5 linked regions of the Canis lupus familiaris genome follow. The protein of the gene in region 1 purifies or fractionates together with the protein of each later gene. This does not show direct contact. Links are inferred from orthologs where the notes say so. Each region holds a gene or a part of one and is shown in the gene's direction. Other genes may lie near its edges.

The links. Proteins that work in one complex are often made in the same cells at the same time.
Region 2: the proteins of COPE (region 1) and SACM1L purify together in Homo sapiens (affinity purification with mass spectrometry; 4 studies listed by BioGRID and IntAct, with this or other methods). This does not show direct contact. The link is inferred for Canis lupus familiaris from reciprocal best matches to the Homo sapiens genes COPE and SACM1L.
Region 3: the proteins of COPE (region 1) and COPG1 fractionate together in Homo sapiens (co-fractionation; 6 studies listed by BioGRID and IntAct, counting the BioPlex papers as one, with this or other methods). This does not show direct contact. The link is inferred for Canis lupus familiaris from reciprocal best matches to the Homo sapiens genes COPE and COPG1.
Region 4: the proteins of COPE (region 1) and COPZ1 purify together in Homo sapiens (affinity purification with mass spectrometry; 3 studies listed by BioGRID and IntAct, with this or other methods). This does not show direct contact. The link is inferred for Canis lupus familiaris from reciprocal best matches to the Homo sapiens genes COPE and COPZ1.
Region 5: the proteins of COPE (region 1) and COPB1 purify together in Homo sapiens (affinity purification with mass spectrometry; 6 studies listed by BioGRID and IntAct, with this or other methods). This does not show direct contact. The link is inferred for Canis lupus familiaris from reciprocal best matches to the Homo sapiens genes COPE and COPB1.

What each region holds. Positions count from the first base shown.
Region 1 is NC_049241.1:44,603,919-44,607,876, forward strand, and holds the start of COPE (coatomer subunit epsilon), read left to right. Parts: upstream 1-1,158; 5' UTR 1,159-1,210; coding exon 1,211-1,336; intron 1,337-3,958. Other genes in the region: probable ATP-dependent RNA helicase DDX49, read right to left, coding at 731-908. UniProt on the Homo sapiens protein: The coatomer is a cytosolic protein complex that binds to dilysine motifs and reversibly associates with Golgi non-clathrin-coated vesicles, which further mediate biosynthetic protein transport from the ER, via the Golgi up to the trans Golgi network.
Region 2 is NC_049241.1:43,140,144-43,143,643, reverse strand, and holds part of SACM1L (phosphatidylinositol-3-phosphatase SAC1), read left to right. Parts: intron 1-2,250; coding exon 2,251-2,387; 3' UTR 2,388-3,500.
Region 3 is NC_049241.1:2,861,924-2,864,263, reverse strand, and holds part of COPG1 (coatomer subunit gamma-1), read left to right. Parts: intron 1-327; coding exon 328-466; intron 467-790; coding exon 791-889; intron 890-2,340. UniProt on the Homo sapiens protein: The coatomer is a cytosolic protein complex that binds to dilysine motifs and reversibly associates with Golgi non-clathrin-coated vesicles, which further mediate biosynthetic protein transport from the ER, via the Golgi up to the trans Golgi network.
Region 4 is NC_049248.1:45,686,211-45,689,710, forward strand, and holds part of COPZ1 (coatomer subunit zeta-1), read left to right. Parts: intron 1-543; coding exon 544-612; intron 613-1,942; coding exon 1,943-2,024; intron 2,025-2,646; coding exon 2,647-2,738; intron 2,739-3,500. UniProt on the Homo sapiens protein: The coatomer is a cytosolic protein complex that binds to dilysine motifs and reversibly associates with Golgi non-clathrin-coated vesicles, which further mediate biosynthetic protein transport from the ER, via the Golgi up to the trans Golgi network.
Region 5 is NC_049242.1:37,795,720-37,799,219, reverse strand, and holds part of COPB1 (coatomer subunit beta), read left to right. Parts: intron 1-575; coding exon 576-695; intron 696-3,500. UniProt on the Homo sapiens protein: The coatomer is a cytosolic protein complex that binds to dilysine motifs and reversibly associates with Golgi non-clathrin-coated vesicles, which further mediate biosynthetic protein transport from the ER, via the Golgi up to the trans Golgi network.

The sequences.
Region 1 (3,958 bases):
GCAAAGAGAGAGGGAGAGAGAGAATTCCAAACAGGCTCTACACCCAGCGCGCAGCCCAATGCGGGGCTTGAGCTCAACCCTGAGATCATGATCTGAGCGGAAATCAAGAGTCACAAGCTCTGCGGACTAAGCCACCCAGGCGCCCCCAAGAGCATCTTTTTTTTTTTTTTAAGATTTATTTATTTATTTATTTATGATAGACAGAGAGAGGGAGAGAGAGAGGCAGAGACATAGGAGGTGGGAGAAGCAGGCCCCATGCACCGGGAGCCCGACGTGGAACTCGATCCCGGGACTCCAGGACCGCGCCCTGGGCCAAAGGCAGGCGCTAAACCGCTGAGCCACCCAGGGATCCCAAGAGCATCTTTTTAATGGCAAACCGGGTTGGGCCATTAGAGTAGAGAGTAGAGTCCTCTACTCTCGGGACCAGAGTCCTGCATTTACCAGTAATCCTGACAACTTCAGTTTCCATTTGTAAAATTCAGATAGTAGTGCTGTGCTCTGAGACCACGAGTTTCTCGGATTACATCACTTATGTGCGGACACACAGGGAGTCAGCTGTGAATCCCAAACGCCAACACTGCCCAGTCTACCTTTGGGACCCAGGCTCGTCCATAACGCCCAAGCGTACCCCTCGCCTCGCAGAAGTGGGTTAGGCAAAGGCTAAGGCGCGAAGGCAAGGGAGCCGACAGAGTGGGGAGGCTTCCTGGGGAAGAGGCCGGGCCACACTTACCCTCCAGGATGGCGGGGATGCAGCCGAGCTGTACAGGCGTGGGCTGCTTCAAACCCAGCTGCCGACATTGTTCCACAAGCCACGATGACAGCCCAAGCTCCGCGAAGCCGGCCATCCTCCCCGCCAGCTCCGGGCGTGCACCGTGTGAGCCCTGCTTTCCGGCGCACGCCGATGACATCACGGAAACCTCGGTTACTGGATCGCCTGCTGCGCGGTCCCACCCCGGTCTAGCTCACACTGCCATTCCCGGGTTCCACCGTATGCTGACCATGTTTCCCCGATTTCCATTGGCTCGCGCGATCAAATTAAACTACAATTCCCGAGATGCCCAGCGAGTCGCACTTGCGACTCCCGTCCAATTTGGCTCATCTTTAGGCAGGAACGAGTAAACTACAATTCCCAGCGTGCCTTGCGGCGACGGACTCCCAACTTCCGGCCGACGTGTCCCTCCGGAAGAGGAGCGACTGGGACCGTAGTGATATGGCGCCTCCGGCTCCCGGGCCGGCCTCCGGCGGCTCCGGGGAAGTGGACGAGCTGTTCGACGTGAAGAACGCCTTCTACATTGGCAGCTATCAGCAGTGCATTAACGAGGCGCAGCGAGTGAAGGTGCGGCCGCTCGGGGGCGAGGGGACAGTGGTGGTTCCGAAAGGCGTTTCTTCCTGGTGGCCACTGGTCGTGCTTTGATTTTTAAAATCTTCCTTCTCCTCGAGGTGTTTTTTCCCCAACGTATCTCTTCAGAGCGTTGTAAGGAGTTACCCTTGTCTTATGACCAAACTCAGAGCCGTGACAGTTTTTGTTATTTCTCACTCTAAGAGCTCGTTCTGCGCCGTGGAAGGCATTTGAGTAACGGATGCGTTTTACGCCACTATAGTGATAATAATAGTGATTTTCACTTGTGGAGGGCCCACGTGTGCCACCATACATACCCACAATACCCCTGAAGTAGGGATTTCATTTCATTTCATTCACTCCTCGTTGAGTTTCTCTTTGGGCCAGGCAGTGTATTCGTGCTGGGCTCAAAGCAGTGATAAAACAGACAAAACTCCGAACTCTTTTAGAAACTTCAAGCTCCCAAGGGAGACAGTCAAGCGGTTAATAAGAAGTCGGGGGTGGTGTGATGGATAGTGGTGGGAATGAGTTTGGCCATCTGAGAGTTAGAAATAACCCTGCTAGGCAGGGCCCAGCCAGTGGATGACGAGAGAGGGTGGCAGGTCCTTTAGCAGAAACTTTTAGGGAGGGACGTGGACGTACATTATAGACAATTTGGGAGTGAGAGAATCGTTAAGAGCAGTGAACCTGACAGGGTCTTGCCTGCCCTGGTTGTTAACCTTCAAAAAAAAAAACCTGTCAGTTATTTTACCAGCAAAATGGGTTTGCTGGGGATTAACGGATAATTGCAATCTGAGACATGTAACCTATGGCAAAACTGTAGGCAAGTCCAGAGAGCAGAGGAGAGGACTGCTGTCTTTCACAGGTGAAAGGGGGAGTTGAGAGGGCTCGTTATGAACAAAAAAATCCATTGAAGTAAACTGAGCTCCGAGTGTTGCGGCTTCTCATTACCTGAGCTGTGACAGTGTCTCCTTGGCTCCGCAATTGCCAGACAAGGAGAACATCTCTCATCTTCCTGTGGGGGTGGTAAAGTATAGGCTTCTTCCTCTGGGGAATGCGTGGTACCTCTCTTTTGTTGGGGTCTGCCACTAACCTGGAGTGTCAGGGCTTGAAAGCTCCCCCTTCTGGTCTCCTGACTCTCTTTTCTTTTTCTTTTTCTTTTTTTTTTAAGAGATTTTATTTATTTATTTATGATAGAGAGAGAGAAAGAGGCAGAGACACAGGCAGAGGGAGAAGTAGGCGCCATGCAAGGAGCCCAACACGGGACTCGATCCAGGATCTCCAGGATCACGCCCTGGGATGAAGGTGGCGCTAAACCGCTGAGCCACCCAGGCTGCCCCTGACTCTCTTTTCAACAGGCTGGTGTCCTAAAGAGATTAGACAAGTAGAGAAATGTGTGAATATATCATAACTTGACTGCTTAAGGGGACAAGGTGAGATAAAAAGTGCTGAGTTGGAGGGGCACCTGGATGGTCAGTCAGAAGAGCATAGGACTCTTGATCATGGTGGTGTGAGTTCGAGTCCCACGTTGGGTGTAGAGATGAGTAAAAATAAATATATCAACTTAAAAAAAAAAGACAACACACATACCACTCTTATTTTATCTTGTATATATTTTTTATTGGAGTTCGATTTGCCAACATATAGTCTAACAGCCAGTGCTCATCCCGTCAAGCACCCCCATCAGTACTAGTCACCCAGTGACCCCATCCCCCCACCCACCTCCCCTTCCACTACCCCTTGTTCGTTTCCCAGAGTTAGGAGTCTCTCATGTTCTGTCACCCTCTCTGATATTTCCCACTCTCTCTCTTTTTTTTTTTTATCACTATTAATAAAAAAGAAAAGATGCTGAGTTGGAGAATAGGCAGGGGGCAGGGAGGAGGGTGCTTCCTCTGGGAATGGTCAGGTAAGCCCCAGCCGCTCTATCACTTGAACCCAAGGCTGAATCTTAAGAAGCATCAAACCCCATAAATTGCTGCAAAGGTCCTAAGGCAGAGATGAGCTCCAGGGAGTCAGAGCATAAAAGACCAGTGTAGCAGAAGTGGGGTGAGTGGCCGGGTGTGTGTGTGTGTGTGTGTGTGTGTGTATGTGTGTAGGATGGAGAATGAAGTGGGCAGGGCCACAGGCAGGGCCTCACAGGAGCCACAGTAAGAGTTTGGATTTTATTCCTAAGATGTAGGGGGCCACTGGAGCACCAAGCAAAGGAAGAGCTAACTATTTCACCCGGGCAGCCAGAGGCTTGGGAGGACTTTGTACTCTGAAGTAGAGAAGGCTTACTTGTTCATGCTTCTGGCCTTTGACACTGTACCTGGTTTCCCTGAGCATCATGGGTATAAAGCCTAAAATGGACTTCAGGAGACTGTCACACTTGGAATAGTACTTGTGCAATTGTATTCGTTTTCTGATTCTCTTATGACAAACAACCACAAATGACAACTTGCAGCCACACAAATTTATTTTCTCTCAGTTTCTGTAGGTCAGAAGTCCTACATGGCTTGCACCAGGCTAAAATCAAGGTGTTGGGAAGGCTGTATCTCTTCTGGAAATTCTAAGGAAAAATATGCTTCCAGACTCAAATGGTTGATAGCTCTGAGCCAGGGGCCAGCCTTGCCTCCTAGA
Region 2 (3,500 bases), about 1.5 Mb from region 1:
TGGAGCCTGCTTAAGATTCTCATTCTTTCTCTAAAGAAAAAAAAAATTTTTTTTAGCCTAAGAACTTGTGCTAACGAGGTCTTTACTGGTTTTCTCTTTTTCTCTCACTGTTTTCCTGTGTTACTAAGCTAATAAGCACGTAGGATTAAAGTGTTTCCGTTAGGTACTCTTCAGTGCTATGGGATCTGAGTCTATGAGTTGGCTGTATTACGCTTTGAGATGCAGCTTTAGGCAGGTTGGGCTGTCTTGTCTGAGCTCCGCCCATTGTCAGGGTCCCATTCTCACTCTCCCCTCTCACAGTGGCCCTTTGTTCTCCCACACAGACCTTACCCCCTTCTCATCTCCACAGCATCATGTCCCTTTCTTACAGCACTGTGTCCTTTGGCCTCATAAGCATCTGGGGATCTCTTTTTCTGAGGTGGCGTATCTCTGTGGTGTATCCAGCATCCCTAGTGAACATCTCTCTTTGTGGGTCATGATTTGCATATTCGTTTATCTTTCTCACTGGATAAGCAACACTTTGAGGGCAGACACTGTGCCTTTCTCAATGTTTTATCTCCTGTGTCTGGGATATAGTAAGCCCTCAGCAAAAATTTGCTGAGCTAAGGACCCTTAACACCACCCCTACGCGCATTCTGGAGCAGAGGGTCAATAGGTACCTGTTCATGTCTGAAATCCCTGTAATCCCCTCCGTGTTCAGCGCCATAGGCAGTCATGACATAGGCAGGGAGCCATCCTGTTGTACTCTAGGGCAGGAGTTAGCAAACATTTTCTCTAAAGAGCAAGATAATAAATAGTTTTGACTTCCAAACTACATACCATCTCCATTTGCACATTATTTGTTTTGACAACTTTTGGAAATGTAAAAACTCTTCTTAGCTCACAGTACGAAAACAGGCTGAGGGCTCTAGAGCACGGGCAGTGCTTTGTGGCATAATTTGGGCCCTGTGTCCAGTCTGGGGACAGGAAGGAAGGTGGACAGGGCCAGCGAGCACGTGCCTCTCGTGATTCCTAGGGGATCATGCTCTTCAATCCCTAGACTCTCTGACTTCTTTAAAACACTGCCTAGTGGATGCCATTTTCTGGGAGCCTGTCGAATTAGTTTTGTTACTTTGATCTCTTCTGTGTTTTCTTGACATCCCTGTAGAACGTCTGGGGAGGGAGGAAAGTTGACAGCTCAGCCTGAACAAGTGATGATTCCTTTGGGGAATGTCCTGGGTTGGGCTTGTGAGGAACTGCCTTTCTTCTTTGTCCAAGAAGAATTTTAAAACTCAGAGGTGTGAAAATGAGCGATTATGTAAATTTTTATAAAAAGAGATGGATGCTGAGGATAGCAATGTTTCATGTTAGTGCTATAAAATGATGAGCATTGTGATGTTTAGATGTGATAGCATCTGATTTCTAGCCTGTTCTTTGGGTTTTTAGAGAATGGGGAATAAGCGCAGCATGATCTCCGACAGCTTGCTAGGAAAGAGCCTGCCTGGCATGCTTTCTCACCGTCTCCTGGCCTCTGCACACATCTCCCAGGTCTGCAGGTGCAGTCAGTCCTGTCACAGGAGGGAAGCTGTGCTAGGTTCAGCTGCTCAAGTAGTAGAACAAAGTAGATCTTTTCCCACTGCTACTAACCCTCGTGAACTCTAGACATTGCAAAAAATGCTTATCGGGAGAGTTGTGTGAAATTGGTCATTAAGATATGTTACTGAGCTTTGTCTTACACACTTTTATACATAGCTTTTCTGAAGCATGTATGTATGTTTTGTACAGTTATTTTTTGTGTAGGCATCTTGATTGTGGTAAATGTATTAATAGTTTCTTGTAATATAAAAGTGCTGAGTCTAAAAGTAAGTAATTATTTGCATGATTGGAATGCAAATAGTTTGGTCAGGTGGTTTTTAAGCTGTGGCCTCTAAATCAGTGGCTTCGACATACCTGGAAACTTGTTAGAAATGCAGATTCTTGAGCCCCACCCCCACTTGCCAAGTCAGAATCTCTGGGGTTGGCCCCAGCAGCCCACACCTTGTCAAGCTCTGGAGAGTTCTGATGCCAGTCAGAGTTCAAGAGCCACTTGTTTAAACCTTAATTGAGAGGTTCTTATATTTTTCCTGCAGATGTGGTAATAAACTTTGATATTGTGAAGATGAAACTTTAATATTTAAACACTGGACTTTAATTTTGCTAAGCAGCTGAAAACTGCCTCTGGGATCAATAAAATGATTTTTATTTATCAACTCTTTTTTTATATATCAATAGGTGACACTTGGACAGAAACACTGGCCTATGTGCTTTTCTGGGGAGTTGCAAGCATCGGAACATTTTTCATTATTCTTTATAACGGCAAAGATTTTGTCGATGCTCCCAGATTGGTCCAGAAAGAAAAGATGGACTGAATTTGTGTCTGTGGAAAGCGGCTTGGCTTAGAAGATTCCATTATGCAGAACTGGAGTCTTTACTGACCCGCTTTCCACGTCACCCCGAGGTCTTTCGAAAGCCTTTCTCCAAAAGCCCACTCTGTGCGCCGTGTGGGGGGATGACCTCTGGTCAGCCTGATGTTCCTGCCTTGACCATCTCTTCATTACTTGGACAGCTCTAGTTATAATTTGAAGCTCTTCTGTAATTAAAAGGTAACCTGAATCCAGCTCCTGGAATGGAAGGAATCTATTCCTTGTCAATTTAATCAACTCTTGCAGAATAAGTAATATATTTAAGAAATCTAGCTTCTTTCCTTATTTAAAATGGTAAAATTATTTTTCTAGCTCAGTTTCCTTATTGTCACTGTAGAGGCAGTTGCTGTTAGCAAGCGAACTTCCCCACACATCTTTGAATTTTTCTTAAAAGTTGAATAATAAGCTAATTTGCCTGTGTGTATGCAGTGTGAGTGTGTCACAGACATCAGGTAGTTTGACAAAGCAGATTGTGACCTCCTGGCAGGGCTGGCGGGGACCGGGGCTGGCGTTTCGGTTGAGCTGCCTTCTGAGTTCAGCTTGAACTTGGGTGTGAAGAAGAAGTTCAGATTTACTTTATCTTTTTTAAAAGGTGTAAATGAAATCAAAGAATGTAAAGTCTGTGTCTTATGCTAAAGGTCCAAAGCCGCCTCTGTTTTAAGGATTTGCCCCAGTGTGGAAGATACCCTCCGTTGGTCGGTTCCTCCCTCCTGGATGTGTTGGTTTCTTTGGGGTTCGTTCATTGAGACTCGTGAGCCTCTGGGAGGCTCTGGTGCTGGACTTGGTGTTGCACTTGGAGGCAGCAGCTGCTTTCCACGCATGGTACTATCAATGCTTTTCACTCTGTAAAGGTTTCTGTTAACGATCAATAAATGTGTCTGAAATTTCGTGCTTCCAGGTAGTTAGAGTTCTCCAAATCAAGGACCAACTTAAATGTTAATTTATGTGCAAAAACAAGCCTGAAAAATATGCTTTAGAAGCTGTGCATAGTTTCTAACTATAAGTTGGACTGTATATTCAAACTGTAATTATGAGGTTTAAATATTAGGAAAGTGTGTA
Region 3 (2,340 bases), about 42 Mb from region 1:
GTAGAAGGCAGACCTTTGGATCCTTAAGGCACTGACTCTAGGCAGGCTTCCAAAGGGACGTGACCTTGCAGCTGACATCCTAAGGTGAGCACTTGGGTCAGGGCATTTCTATTGAAAGGACACCACTTGGCTGTGAGCACCTGAAGGAAAGTCCAGTTACTGTATGTCCCCAGAGCCAAGCACAGTGCTCTGTGTCTAGTGAGCACTTGCCCAATGCGTTGAAGAAAGGGATAAGCAGTGAGTGCAGAGCAGAGGCCCCACAGGTGTGCAGAACAGGAACCCATTCCCCTGGAGGTGTATGCCTAACTTCCACCTCCATCTCCACAGCTGGAAGATCTGGAAATCACTGTTGCTGATCATATCCAAAAGGTCATGAAACTGAACTTTGAAGCAGCCTGGGATGAGGTAGGGGATGAGTTTGAGAAAGAGGAAACATTCACCTTGTCTACTATCAAGACACTTGAAGGTAAAATCCTTGGCTATTGAAATGTGTCCTCCCCTTTCACTCCTCCTGGCCTTGGCCCCCCAGGAACCCAGGGCCATGTTGAGAGTATATACTTCAGATGGCACTTCATGAAAAGGCCCTTAGAGAGGGCCTGGCTGGCTCAATAGAACAGCATGTGACTCTTGATCACAGGGTCATGAGTTTGAGCCCCACATTGAGTGTAGAGATTACTAAATAAAATTTTTAAAAGCGCAACTTAGAGCAGGCTTAGAGGATGGGGGAGTGGTGGTGACACAAAGGTAGAAATGAGATGTGGCTTAATGATGCTGGGATTTCTCCCTATAGAGGCTGTGGGCAATATCGTGAAATTCCTGGGAATGCATCCTTGTGAGAGGTCAGACAAAGTGCCAGATAACAAGAACACCCACACATTGCTTCTGGCTGGTAAGCAACACTTCTAGGTGGGAAGGGCCTACGTAGTTTACAGTCTGCATGCTACTGTGCCCTGGGTTGAGGGCTCCCACTGGGAACATGGGGATTCAAATTTATAGCATTGAAGATTCACAAAGTAAGGGGCACCTGGGTGGCTCAGTCGGTTAAGCGTCTGCGTTCAACTTAGGTCATGATCTTAAGGTCCTGGAATGGAGCCCTGTGTCCGTCTCTCTGCTCAGTGGGGAGCCTGACACTCCCCCTGCTTGTGCTCTCTCTCACTCTGTAGAATAAATAAAATCTTTAAAAACACAAAAAAGAAAATTCATAGAGTAAAAAAAGCCCAGCAGTGAAATATCCGACCCTTGCTGCCTGTCATCTATCTAGTTCCTTTCCGACAGGTGACTGATCAGCATTGTTATTATAAACAGTGATTTTATGGATACGAACACTGACATGCACAATTTCCTATTTTAACTCAGATGTTTACGTGTAAATAGTATATATATTGTCTTTCCTATGCTTGGCTGGCTCAGTCGGTAGAGCATGTGATTCTTGATCTCAGGGTCCTAAGTTTGTGCCTCACGTTGGGGGTGGAGATTACATTAAAAATATATTTAAAAATACATAGAGTTTCCTCTTTTTCTAATTAAAAATATATTTAAAAATACATAGAGTTTCCTCTTTTTCTAATTGTAGTAAAATGTACATAATGTAAAATTTACCATTTTAAGCTCAGGTATACAGCCCAGTGGCATGAAGTATATCTGCATTATTGTGTAGATATTAGCACTGTTCTTCTCCAAGACTTTTTTATCATCCCAGAGTAAATCTTCATACTTTTTTGTAGCTTCCTTATATTCCATTGTATGGGTGTACCATAATTTATAGAATCAGCCTGTATTGATAAATATATAGATTGTTCCAGGCTTTTTGCTATTACAAACAATGCTACAGTGACTAATCATGCACACACACATACTTTATTTTGCATGTATTCCCTGAGGATATCTATAGGATAAACTTCCCAAGGCATTACCAGGTCAAAGCGCATTTCTCATTTTGATATAAATTTCTAGTTGCCTTCTTTTTTTTTTTTTTCTAGTTGCCTTCTATTGGAACTGTATGCCTTTCCTTCCACACTGTGGACAACATAGTATGTTATCAGTATAATACAGTAATCAGTAATATACAGAGTATATTATCAGGTCATTATCAAATGATCTTTGCCAGTCTGGGTGGAAAATGGTATCTTAGTGTAGTTTTTATTTTATTTTATTTTTTAAATTTTATTTATTTATTCATGAGAGACACACAGAGCAAGGCAGACATATAGGCCGAGAGAGAAGCAGGCTCCATGCAGGGCGCCCGATGTGGGACTTGATCACAGGTCTCCAGGATCACACCCTGAGCCAAAGGCAGATGCTCAATGGCTGAGCCACCCAGGTGTCCCTGTAGTTTTTATT
Region 4 (3,500 bases), on another chromosome or scaffold:
TGCACGCATGCGTGCTCGTTTCCCTCTGCTCGGTGTGTGGGTGGTTTAGGGAAGGCTTGCTTTATGCCTCTGCATTGCTACTGCATTGGGACTGCAGAAACTTCAAGTACACTAGGGCATTCAGCCCTATTTTCAGATAGCCTCGTGCGGTGCCTACTAATTAATCTGGTCGCATTCCATACCTACCTGCACATGGGAGACCAGGGAGAGAGGGTAATTTGGAAAATAACTGTAGCATAATATTTGAAAATAAGAGCATGACCTACCTTTATTAAACCCTCTGTGAGTCTGGCTCAGAGAAACTGTTTCTCTGATGCTGCTTTAGAGTCCTTTGTTGAAAGCCCCCCCCCCCCCCCCCAATTCAGTTCATTCACCACTTGATCGTTCTCGGTGGGGATTGTCTAAATGTAACCATTCGGGATAGGGGACATACGGAGGCACCTCTGTATCCCCTTGCAGCCCCACTGGGACTAGGGGAAGATATCTGGTTTGCCAGGGGTGGCAGGAGCCTTCAGGACTGAAGGTATGTTCATATCTCTTCAGGAACCCTCCCTGTATACTGTCAAAGCCATCCTGATTCTGGACAATGATGGAGATCGACTTTTTGCCAAGGTGAGATTCCCTTTGAAATTCATTTAGGAGCAAGACAAAGACTTATTTTGAAATTTGGATGGATTTGGGACTGCCCCTGTTTCATAGTCCTTGATACTATAATTTTGAGAATTCTTTCTTGTGCCTACTCCAGATAAAACCATTTCTGTATCTTGGTTGCCCTGCTTCCATACTTGCCTCCCACAGATTCTGACCTCCTTTGTTGTACCAGAGCAGGGAAAAGCTTGGGAACCTTGGTTTCTGAACAATACAGTGTTTGGATGTGAGAAGCAGGTTGCCCAGGCCCATTATTCCTGTCCCCTTTCCTTCTGCCTTGTCACCCTGCCTGGGTTTTTCCAGGAATTCTCCTGGCAGTTCCAGGGTTCCAGCCCTAGGTCTGCAGTCACCACCAGGCTTGTTACCTCCTGACGTCCCCAGTGTGATGTTTCTAACTTTGGATCTATTGAAAGAGAGGAGAAAGGACACCCCTCTCCTCTCCCTCCATATTCTCCCCCTCCTGTGGAAATTTTTTCTGTCCCTGGTGTATTCACTCCGGGCGAGCACAGCATAAATCAATCAGCAGGTAGAGATTAGTTTAGAATTCACCAGCTGTTCCTCCCTGTAATTGGATGTAACTATGCAGGACACCTTTTGAAACAGTTATCCAGTTACTAAATGCCAGACCTGTCATAGGTCTTCAGCTGACTGCGACGGATTAGCCCCTAAAGAGCAGAGCGATTTAGCAGCCTGTATCTCTACCCCTTGCCAGCCAGGGAGAGCTTGGGAGTGGGCTCAACAATGTGCTCGGCTGTCTCCTGCTTCTTTCAGTTTGCAGAAAAGAGAGCTGAGATCTGCAAGAGATGGAGTCGGGTTTGCCTTTCTTTAGAGGAGGTTCTTGCAGCCTTTCCCCATTCCCATTCCTCAGCTTCATAGTGTGAGTGAGGGTCTAAAAGGCGTGTTCTGTGCCCTAGTGCCTTTTGTGTTCCCTACTCCCTGCCATGGGATAGCTCCTAGGAAGCACTGGATGAGAGTGGCCTCAGGGTTGCTTTCCGAGAATGCAGACAGGGGTAGAGCTTCATCACAGGCCTCCGTCCTTAGGGTCTTAGGGATGTGAGGTGGGCGTGCTTATGGCAGGGTCTTTACAAGAGCTTTTTTTTTTTTTTTTTCTTTTTTTTATATTCAGTTACTCACTGACCATTCCCTACCTCCGTAGTTCTTCCTTCGTGCCAGTATTTTTCCCTCACCCCATGCCTTAAAGGCGAGAAATCCAAGATCCAGGGCAAAACACAGTCACTAATCATTCTGGGCTCCCAGCTCTAATGACCCAACCCATCTCCTTTCCCTCGACCAGTACTATGACGACACCTACCCCAGTGTCAAGGAGCAAAAGGCCTTTGAGAAGAACATTTTCAACAAGACCCATCGGACTGACAGTAGGTCATTTTCCTTTCGCTGCTCCCTGTGCTGGGGGAACCATAGTGGGCAGGGGGTGGCAGCAGGACTGCAGAGAAAGGATAAAATGACTGCCTCCTTTTTCTCTTTTTTCCTCCTCCCCTCATATAATAAACTCTTCAGAATGTAATGGGGAGGTGAGTGTACCTCACGTGGGAATACCGTGCTGGAAGGTTGGCTGTTAGCTACCTGTCTAGTCCCTGGATTTATGAGCCTCACTTGACAAATTTAACTGCAGCTCTGCTTATTGTACCGCATCCATTAGGGCAGGTAAATGGAAGTCTGTAAAGGTGACCGCTCTGCATTTTCACCTCCGAAGGATCGACTAGTATCCTGTCTCCTATACAAGGAGGGAAATAAGGGTAGTTGTTGGGGAGGTGGTTAGGAGAAGATACATTTTGATTCCCCCAAGTTAGTACTTCCCTTCTTGTGCTACCACTCAGAAGGAAAAAGCAGGCGAACTTTGGTCTTTGGGGGTTATTATGACTTACCTTACTTAAGCCCAAGGAGCTGGGTACCAGGAGTTCGCGGCAACTCCTTCTATCTTACTTCCTTATCTCAGGCCACCCACTATTTGCGCCTTCCCTTTCTCCCCCTCCCCAGGTGAAATCGCCCTCTTGGAAGGCCTGACGGTGGTATACAAGAGCAGTATCGATCTCTATTTCTATGTGATTGGCAGCTCCTATGAAAATGAGGTGAGAATCCCACTCCTCTTCGCTCGCTCTGATCCCACTTCCTAAACCAAAGGCAGGACATAGTCATTGGGTCTGGACCCCAGGAGTGCCACGTCCCTCTGGGCTAAAAAAGTTGTCAGAGATCACTGTTGACCTCACAAATGTGGCCTAGCAAATCAGCCTAGAGTGGTCGTTTCCCCCAATTGCTCGCTCTTCCTTTCCTTTCCTTTCCTTTCCTTTCTCTTTCCTTTCTCTTTCGTTTCTCTTTCGTTTCTTTCTTTTCTCTTTTTTTTCTTTTTTTTCTTTTTCTCTTTCTTTTTCTCTTTTTCGTTCTTTCTTTTTCTTTCTTTCAAGTTTTGTTATTTAAGTAATGTCTACACCCAGTGGGGGGCTAATATGAGGTTTTTAAAAAGATTTTATTTATTGAGAGAGAGAGAAAGCAAGTGCAAATGGTAGGGGTGTGGGGGGCAGAGGCAGAAAGAGAGGGAGAAAGAATCTCCAGTAGACTCTGTGCTGAGCACTGAGCCTAATACCGGGCTTGATCTCATGACCCTGAGATCATGACCTGAGCCAAAATTGAGAATTGGACACTTAACTGACTGAACCATCCAGGCATCCATAAAAGATGGATTTCTGAGGTGTGGTCAAGGTTGGAAGGATGCTTCTTCCTGCTACGTAGGGTGCACACCTAACTGAGTTTGGATGAGTTAGACAATATTTGGGGTCATGTTGAATGAAGCCATACATCCTGAATGGATCAAATTGAGAAGACTGTGGGTACAG
Region 5 (3,500 bases), on another chromosome or scaffold:
CACGTGAATCATACTCTCTTTGACCACTTCTACATATGGCTTTGAAGTTGGAAAAAATAAATTGTATACAGAAACAGTGCAGGGTCTCTTGGAAATTCTGTGTGGCTTAAGCAAGAGTTAAAGCACTTTAAGATATCAAGGGAAAAGATACTTCTGCCCTTTCTTCCTCACAACATGATGCCTATATAAAGAACTATGTTTCTAAGAATTTATAAGCCTTCGTGTGGACTGTTTTATCTCTCTTGGTAATGGAGTCTATAGTTTGACTCAAGATTTTTGAGAAGTTTATACTCAATCATTGAAATAAAATGATAAGCCCAAAGTATATGCACACATTAAATATAGAATTATTTTGAGGAACTTATTACTTTTTCAAAGAAAATATGTATATTGATGTGAATAATAAAGTGTTAAATGATTTATTTTGTCCTCAAAATATTTGAATCATAACCCTTTTCTTGTTCCTTATTTCACTGCATCATTTTAAGTTATTTTTTGGGAGATAAGATTTATGATTTGAAATGAATATATGTGATTTAATATGTATATTTAACCATATCTAAATGTTTCTTCAGGGGATCTGAAACTTGTGGAAAAGCCATCTCCTTTGACTCTTGCTCCTCATGATTTTGCAAATATTAAAGCTAATGTTAAAGTAGCATCAACAGAAAATGGAATAATTTTTGGTAATATAGGTAAGGAATTGTTTTATAGCATATGATGTTTGAATATTTTTATTAAAGAATTTCTGTAATGAGTAGTTGTATGACATTTCTTGAGGACAGGACCTGAATCCATTTATTCATTTACTCATTCATCCCTTATGGGGCACCTGCTGTTATACTACATGTTGTACTTTGTTCATGGATGTACAGAAATGAACCATGGAAAGACTGTCCTCAAGAACCTGCCAAACAAAAGAAGGAGATAGAGTAAATATATAAGTACAACGCAATGTGATAGATGCTAGTTTATATGTTATGTGCTTTGAGAACATAGAAGAAAAATGCTAAGCCCACAGAAGGCTTTATAGAGGAGTAGGATATGTTATCAAAGGATGACTTTTGAACTGAGTCTAAAATTGCAGAGGCAGTGGTTGCCAGGGCACATAGGACTGTGTATCCAGGGGCATTCAGTCAGACAGTAAGCATTTTTTTAAGCAAGGTCTGTGGCACTGTTAGGGGTGCCATGGTGAGAACAAAAGATCTCCCCTCAGGTAATTTGTGGTCAAGTAAGGGAAAACAGATAAGTAGGATAGATACGTATAACACATAATGGTAAGTTCTAGGAAAGAAGCTTGTGCTAGGTAAAGTGGGAGTCTGTGTAGAAATTTGGTCATTTTTCTCAAAGTGGTGGGGGAGTGGGAGGTGGGAAGGTTAGGAAAGGCTTTGTGGAGCAACTAATGCTCACAGGGCATTTTGAACAATTAGGAATGTTCTACATATAGGCAAGGATTCCACTGGAACAAATTAAGAGAGAGAGAGCACATGCAAGCCGGGTAAGGGTGAGGGGAGGCAAAGGGAGAGAGAGAAAATCTTAAGCAGGCTCCATGCTCAGCACAGAGCCCTATGTGGGACTTAGTCTCAAGACCCTAAGATCATAACCTGAGCTGAAATCGAGAGTCAGACGCTTAACCAACTGAACCACTCAGGCACCCCCATGATTAAGCATTTCTGTGACAGCACAGATTGGAAGAGGCAGGAAGAGTAAACTAGTAGACTATTGTAGTAGCACAGGTGAGAGATGATAGAGCTCAAACCAGTGCAGTAGTGGTTGGGTTGTAGAGAAGGGCTGAATATTATTAATATTAAGGAAATAGGATGCCCAGGACATGGACTGAAGAGGAAGTGGCTAGAGTAATGGTCAGATTTTTTTATTGGGTTTATTGAATTGATATTTATGGCAATCACCAAAAAAGGAAATATATGAGAGAAGAACAAATTTGAGAGAGGTACTAAGGTAAATCTTTGAGCAGATCGAGTATTAAAGTATTGAAAGATGTCCAAGGGCAATTTGATGTGGGTGTGGAACTTGAACAGAAAGTCTAAACTAGAGATAAATACTTGTTTAAAAGCCATAGAAATGGAAGAAATCACTCAGGGTATAAAGAGTGAGAAGAGGGGAGATCTTAAAACTGAATCTAAGAGAACAGCAATATTGAAAGCTTGGTTGGCCAAGAAGAATCCTATAAAGGTACCTGAAATGTGGTAGAGAAGAAGTAAGGAAAAATCTTCCAAAGAATTTGGAGCTGCGAAAGGTCAAGAAACATGAAGTCTAAAGGAAGAGTCCTTTGAATTTGGTGATCAGTGATATTAAATATTGCTTGTGGTATATCTTGGGCATTGATGGTGAGTTGAAGACTTGGAGGTAGAGAAATAAAAACAGTGTAGACTGCTCTGAGTATAGAATTTTGGTTTTGATAAGAATGAGAGAGGGCAATAAATGAAGAGAAGTCAGAGGAGGAGGGAGAGGTTTTTTTTTTTTTTTTTTTTAAGGTGAGAGAGTCATAAAAGGGAATGTTTATAGACTAAGGGAAGAGCCAGTAGAGAAAACAAAGCTAAAGACATAGAGTGAGGGAGGTAATGATTGGTGGAGTGATGTCCTGAACCAGAACAGGAATCACAGATGGCAGGAATCTGCAAGAGAAGAGACAGCACTTCCCTGATACACAGGGTAAGGAAATGGTGTGTGAATTCAGAGAGAGAGAAATTTGTTTTTAGATGTGGGACTAAAAATTAAAGGAACTTATTCTTGGTGACCTCTGTTTTCTCTGAAAGTAGATGCAGTGGAGGAATGTAAAGAGAAGAGGCTAGGAGGAAGAAAGGTAGGCTCCAATCAGATGACAACTTTCTGCTGTGGATGAGGCAGTCATAGAAGTAAATAATCTTGTAATCATTAAGTACTGTGGCTCCTCAATATTCATTAAAACATATTTGTTAAGTACCTCCTAGGGAGCACTATGACTTACATATCCCCATGGAGGGCCTCACACTGCAACTGCTATGCATGTACTGACTGAATTTGAATCCTGCCCCTACCACTTAATCAGTTCTGTGGCCTTAAGCAACTTACTTGACTTCTTTTTGTTTTGTTTCCTCATCCATAAGATGGAAAATGATAATACTATAACATAGGATTGAAGGAGTATTAAATAGGTAATATTTTTAAAGTATTTAAAATAAGAGCCCAGGATATAAGCATTATATAAATAGTTGCTAATCTTATAATTATTATCTATAAATATTAAAACTTTTTTTTTAAGATTGTATTTATTTATTCATGAGAGACACAGTGAGAGATGCATAGATATAGGCAGAGGGAGAAGCAGGCTCCCTTCAAGGAGCCTGATAGGGGACTCGATCCTGGATCCCAGGATCACACCCTTGAGACAAAGGCAGATGCTCAACCACTGAGCCACCCAGGTGTCCCATATTAAAACTTTTTTTTTAAGATTTTATTTATTTGTTTGTTCATTCATTCATCCATCCATCCATTCATTC